Linked DNA regions of Drosophila melanogaster. The protein of the gene in region 1 interacts with the protein of each later gene in a pairwise test. Each region holds a gene or a part of one and is shown in the gene's direction. Other genes may lie near its edges. The genes, in order: CG34227 and l(2)k14505.

The links.
Region 2: the proteins of CG34227 (region 1) and l(2)k14505 interact in a two-hybrid assay, tested with the Drosophila melanogaster proteins (one large-scale study listed by BioGRID).

What each region holds. Positions count from the first base shown.
Region 1 is NT_033778.4:11,245,846-11,249,148, forward strand, and holds CG34227 (uncharacterized protein), read left to right. Parts: upstream 1-2,280; 5' UTR 2,281-2,342; coding exon 2,343-2,657; 3' UTR 2,658-2,765; downstream 2,766-3,303.
Region 2 is NT_033779.5:21,259,240-21,263,013, forward strand, and holds l(2)k14505 (lethal (2) k14505), read left to right. Parts: upstream 1-1,928; 5' UTR 1,929-1,995; coding exon 1,996-2,095; intron 2,096-2,172; coding exon 2,173-2,480; intron 2,481-2,537; coding exon 2,538-2,718; intron 2,719-2,773; coding exon 2,774-3,024; 3' UTR 3,025-3,172; downstream 3,173-3,774.

The sequences.
Region 1 (3,303 bases):
GTTCTGTGAAAGCTCATAAGTCTAAATAAAGCGCATTAAGTTAACAAAAAGCCGAAGCTTTAAAGAGCTTCTTAATAGCCAAATTAAAACACAGAAAACCATTTCAATTGTTTACGTGCTGCCGTTTTATAATATCAAATAAATCTGTGCAACGTAAACAAGAACATTTAAATTAGTAAACAAGAAACAGGAATGCCAGTCGACTCTGTCTTTGGATCTCTGGATCGAATAAAAGACCGCAGCTTTGGTTCCAAAAGTTACAGTTGCACAAAGCAAAGATCCAAGCACAACCGAAGAAATCTCTCCACGAAATCACTGACCCGAAGTATCTGCAAGATGCGTCTAATCCTTCTGTCCATCGTTGGCCTCCTGTGTCTGGCCTATGCCCTCGCCCTGAATGAGAATGCAGCTGCTCTCGAGGATCTGGTCAATCTAGGAGCAGAACATGCCGAAAGCGGAGTGCGAGATGCTCGTGGTTAAGGTCATGGCAACTACGGACATGGCAACTACGGACATGGCAACTACGGACATGGTCATCACGGGGGTGGTGGTCATGGACATGGACATTATGGTCGCTAGTGTATTTATACATTTTTAAACTAACCCTGATGACAACACATATATTTCAAATACAATTTATTAAAATAAAGTAGGTTCTCTTCAAACTGCAATACGATGTCTTTAATAATAAAGAGGAAATCTGAAACTAATACTATAAATCAAAAAGTACTTCTTGTTCAAAGAAATCTTAAAGGTGCCAAAAGAACACACACATTGTGGTGAAATAAAAATGCTGACATGATAAATTTAAGATAAGCTGTTTTAAGCTTACTGTTTAAAAACTACAGTAATTGCACTAAAATTTTTTTAAGAATTATATTTATTAGATTAAATGAAGAAAAAACTCAAGGGCCAATGACGAGCCCCTTTTCTATATGAAAAATAAGGTAGAAGAGCTTTATTTTAAAAAAAGCTTCAGAACGTCCGATTTCAATTTTGTGGATTTTAAGTTTATTCACTAGTAAGATCCATATCCATACAAATCAGTAGGCGTGTTATTTCTTGACTCGCACGAGCTAATTTAGTCAAATTAGTTATTTGGTTATATTTTGTTTTGAAAAGTATTAGACGCCATACGGTATATTTCGATGGGAACCAGTATGACAACTCAAGTTTAACGGCTTGCACTCGTAAATCCCCAGTTGTTTACTTTTTAGATTCTAGATCAAGCAAGTCGATCTTGACATTCATTAAACAATTGAGAGCCTATTTGCATATGAATCCTTGTGAATGAGTACTATGTTAATTGGGATTAATGATTAGCAGATTTGTATTAAATATTATATTATTACACACGATATGCGATGAATAGAGGTTATACTAGACTCGTTTAAAATTATGTATGTAACAGGTTGAAGTATGCGTTTCTGATCATATAAAGTATATATATTTTTGATCAGGATCGCTATGTCTGACCATCTAGGGCAGCGCTCATGTATCAAAAGATTCTTTGTATTATTTGGTTCAACATGCACTTCTATTAGTACTAGCTAAGAAACGGGTATCTGATAGTCGAGGATATCGAATAAAGGGTTGCCTCATGTTTAACGCTCTACTCAGTATTCAACAAAATGTTATTAGGATTGACCTGACATCAACATGTCTGTTACAGTCCAGATTTAAGTCAAAGATTTGTTTATATGAAACTTAAACAATTTAAACCTACATGTAAATGGAAAGGTTTCTGTTCTGTATATTTGGCTTTGTTGATTAATAATTAATTAAATATGGCAATCGACCTGTCACTTAGCTGCCGATGCACTTTAGTAAAAACCCATAAAACAAAACAGGTCTCAATTGTTGGCAGTCAACGAATCCTAATCGAATGATCTATGTATGAAACCACTTAGGAGTAGCATCCCGACAACTTTCGCAAATGAGACATTAAAAATTTGGAATGATTCAGTAATGACAGCCAAAACAAAAAAAAAAAAACAAGAAAAAAATGGTACACAGAATAAAAAAGAGTGTAATATTTGTGTGGTGAAATATATAGCGATACAAACCAGAACCCGGTTAAAAAAGCCCCTAAACAATCGCACCTAGAGGCCAAGTAGGTATATAGTACATACACAGTATAGTACGACTATGGCAAGAGGTGGTGGTGGAGCTATTGGAGGGGGGTGCTGTGGAGAGACCCGACTCATCGATGCGTATGAGAACAGGAACGTCAAGTGGCGAGATCTTCGCATATAAGGCCCGCGATTGAGACGAACAAATCATCAGTTGCACGAGTCTGTCGAGTCTGTATCAGCAACCCATTGAATCAAGCAGAAAGCAAGATGCGTCTAACACTTCTGGCCCTCATCGGTGTCCTGTGCCTGGCATGTGCCTACGCCTTGGATGATTCTGAAAACAACGATCAGGTGGTTGGACTCCTGGACGTCGCCGATCAGGGAGCGAACCATGCCAACGATGGAGCCCGAGAGGCCCGCCAGCTCGGAGGATGGGGCGGTGGATGGGGTGGTCGTGGAGGATGGGGCGGCCGTGGAGGATGGGGCGGCCGTGGTGGATGGGGTGGCCGTGGAGGATGGGGTGGAGGATGGGGCGGTCGAGGAGGTTGGGGAGGTCGCGGAGGTGGTTGGTATGGCCGATAGAACGGCTGACGTCGCTGACCACGCCTCCGACCAATCCCACCACTTGCCAAGTCAGAAGGATACCCTGTCACCAATGTCATGGCGTGAATAAAGTACTTTGGAGCAATTAAATTTCGATTTTTATTTGGTATGCCTAACGAGTGGCGTTTTTAAACCCATTATTTACTATCAAGGGAAATATTCATAATAGAAAATCATCTCCAGTCGTCGGATTGAGCTAAAAGAAATCAGAAATCCTGGAAGCTCTCAATAATCTTCTATCCATAGGACCACTAAAAACACAGCTTCGAAGTCTTTAATAATATAAATTTTGGATCAATCTGTAATGATAGGCGGCAAAACAAAGTTCAGTGCGTCTAATTGTAGCAGAAAACTTATCTAACATCGCTGATGTAAGCCACAATTTGACCAGATCCACCACCTGCCAAGTGAAAAGGACACCCTCCCATGGGCTTAAATGTGTTATTCAGGACTAATGAAGCACTTAAACTTGATTTTCGATTCGTGTTCTTGAAAAGGTGTCAAACTGAAGTGGTGCATAGGCCTATTATTATTCCCTCTTAGGGGATATACTTATCCTGTCCAGCGTTTTAAACATACATACGCCCACACAAGCTTATTTCACTCTTCAACCGTCTGGACTTTA
Region 2 (3,774 bases), on another chromosome or scaffold:
ATGAAATTAGTTAAATGTTTATTTATAAATAAAGCGCTATAATAAATTTCAATACATTTATCATAGTTAACTGATTAAGACCACTGAAATCAAAAATATTTTATTTACTAAGCAAAGCACACGCAAACAATTTATAATGTTTATTACGTTAACAACAAACTCATTTTTAATAATTCTTTATGAATACACAAAGTTACGCAATTTTCCCTCTAGGCGCATTGCTTAAATAGTTAAAGAAAAATAATAAACCCATAGCGCAATATTTAATGTAAAACAGTTTTCCTTGCGTGTGATGTTTGCTCTAGCTACGTACAAATTCATCATTTATTAAATTTAAAACTCAATTTTGCTTTTAAATAAATTTAATAAGTAAAATTCAACAATAATTGATATACAATTGTCAATGCAATATTTTGTAATAAAAATGCGAAAAATCAATATTAGTTTCACTGTTATTACGGAGCCTAAGGGTATACTAGATTCCTTGAAAACAGGTAAAAGGAAATGTTCCCAACAGCTTATTCAATCTGGCTCTGCCCTTTCGTTTGAATAAACTGATACGTCAAAATTCTTATAGAGTAAAAGGGTATATTAGATTCCTTGTTAAGTATATAACAGGCAGAAGGAAGCGTTTCCGACAATGTAAAGTATATTCTCGATCAGGATCAATGGCCGAGTCGATCTAGGTATGTCCGTCTGTCCGTATGAACGTCAAGATCTCAGGAACGATAAAAGCTAGAAGGTTGCTAGTCAGGGAAGTCGACTATAGCATTCTCTCTTGTTTTTAATCAATATTTTGCCATTTTTGATCAATTTTTATCAAACAGCGTGGCAGTTTTTTGCGGTTTTAGGGCTATAGAATGGGCGGGTCAAAAAGTTGTTTGGCAAATCGACAGAAATTTTTAAGACTAATAAAAATATGAATAAATATCAAAACATTTTTCAAAAGTTTGATTATTATCCTCGTTTTTCTCGATGTTTATGTAGGCACGCTCCATATCTGCTTTTAATCAAAACATTGAACAACACAAAAAATGTAACAGTAACTATGTTTGGGATAGAATGATTGATAAATGAGTGCTTGCAACAGGTCCTGAAATTTATAGACTGAACGGTTACCCGATATATATATATATATGTATGTATATGTTGTTAGTTATTCATTGGTTACAAATTAATTTATTTTATTGTATTGCTTATATAAAGACATGAGTTTATAATTTAATGGTGGATACAGATTTTTTCTAATTTAAAGTAGCAACCGAAAGTTACAACAAAACTAGTATGTGTAATCTATACATCCCACATTAGTAGTACAGAATAATTTAGTAATAATATATATACATACTTTATAATGGTACGAATTAATCCATTTGAAAATTTGTATGTTACAACTTTAGAACATTTGTTTGCCCAAAAATAAGGATTCATATTTTTAAATAAAATTCTTATAAAGGAATGTGTTTAGATGGTTAGAAAGAGCCACCACTATCTTAGAATATGTTGCTAAAGTTTCAGCGTTGCAAGCTTATTTCAGAACGTTGCCTCAATCATACTAACGCCCACAACTGTCACTGCTACAGTTTTGGAAAAGGTTTTGATTTTATCATTTGTCTTGCACATTGTATCGATGTGCCAAAAATATGATGAGGCCAAACATATACAATGGTCATATCCAATAGTCAGAAATTAATAAAAACAAACAAGTTTTTTAAAAATACCGCACATGCAATTAGTGCGCATAGTGACATCTGCAGTCGCTAAAAGAGACCCAAGTGTTAAAAGCTTACTCGACTAGAAGCTATAAATGGCGATTAATTCCTCTAAGGGAATACCCTCGATGTCCTTATGAAGGCAGTGGAGTAGCACAGAAAGGTAAACAGTACCTACGACTGATTTATTGAGATTTGTGGAAAAAGTACTACAGCCACACTGAAAACTCAACTCTGCTGTTAAACAGCTGAAGACAAGTAGACAGGCAGACAAACTCTAAAAATGAACGGAAAGTATGTAGTTAGCGCCATCCGAGCTCTCCGGTTGACCAATTTCAGCCAGTGCAAAGGAGCCGCTAGCAGTTTCACTGTGCGCCACTATGGTAAGCCGCGATAGCCAGAATAAAAACGTGTGTTGCCATTTCATAACATCCCGCGATCGGCGGTTCTTCTCCTGCAGCCTCTCCTCCCAAGCGATTCTACAAGAAGACTTCCGTACTGAGCGGCGACAGCGGCTATGAAGTGGTGTTGGATCACCGGAAACTGAAAACGCCCAAGGGCACACCCTTCATCGTCCGCAGCGAACCCCTGGCCATTGCTGTAGCCACTGAGTTCGACGCTCAGAAGGAAAACATCGAGCGTTCCCGCATGCACTTATCCGCGCTCTGCTTCACGGCCATTGACAATCCCAATCACCTCTCCAAGTTGGACATGGTCAACTACCTTCTCAACTTCATCGCCACAGACACGGTGCTCTTCCAGTACGATGTGAGTGAATCAACTGAGAATTAGAGTGCACATTCCACAGACATATATCTTTTGCAGGACGAAAAGGACCTGCAGGACCTTCAGGTGAATGAATGGGACCCGGTGATCGCCTGGTTCAACCAGCGCTACGACACAAACCTGCAGAAGACCATGAACATAACGCCGCCTCAGGTCAGCGAGCAGGATAAAATGAATGTCGCAAAGCATTTTCAGTCCTACAGTTTGGAAACTCTGCATGGTAATGCAGACCATAAGTCTGGAGTTCAACGTCTATTAAATATATTTTCCTCCAGGCTTCATTTTCGCTGTGGACACCTTAAAGTCGATTGTCCTTGCCTGCGCCGTCATCGAGCAGATGCTTACCGTGGAGAAGGCTGTGGCCCTGGCGCGTCTAGAGGAAGAATACCAACTTAAGTTCTGGGGTCGCGTGGAGTGGGCACATGATTTAAGCCAACAGGAGTTGCAAGCACGCCTGGCGGCTGCCGTGCTCTTCGTACACCTTAACTGTTCGGAAAACCTTGTTAAGCAAAAGATAATTCTTTAAAATTAAAATACCTGTTCAACATACATATGAGCTGACTACCACAGGGTTATGGTAGCACGTATGTAGGTCTCCTAGGACCTAGGACATAATAATAGATGTATATAAATCGTGCCTAGTTTGAAACTTATCAAGGTCAGGTCATCCTCCCTTTTTTTTTAGCTCTTACCGGTTTTTTTTTGTTGTAATAATACGGTTTATATTATCATTTTTTCATACTTTCTTTAAGCACGAAAGTAACATACTCTTTTGACGTCTCTTATAACACAACTGAATTTTAGTTCTGATTTTAATTAGTAAGCCACAAGGATTCTGGTACAGCAATACGTGGAGGCAGTGAACATAAGGAAGTACATTAAGTTTTTTGGAACTACACATGTACAAATGTGTAGGATATATGTAACATTTTTAAATTTGAATGAGATTACTAAATTTTAGAAATATTTAGTTTGTTTAATCCTAATTTAAGGTTCGGTTTTTTTGCACCTTGACATAGAACCCTATTTTTGGAACCCATTGGCAAAACATGGACATTTATTTATCTTACTTAAGAAAAAATTAAGTGCTAGTGTAATAGGCGCTTAGAGGAAGTCTCAAAAAACAAAAATAATTAAGCAATTTTTTTTCGTAGGTGTGGTATATTCTGATAAATACTTGCTTGGTATTTTAAAATAGTTACGGTACAGTCCTACTGTACACTGCGGTCACACTGGTTCGGACGTGGGTGGCGCATCATCGGTGGTATTCTGTTGC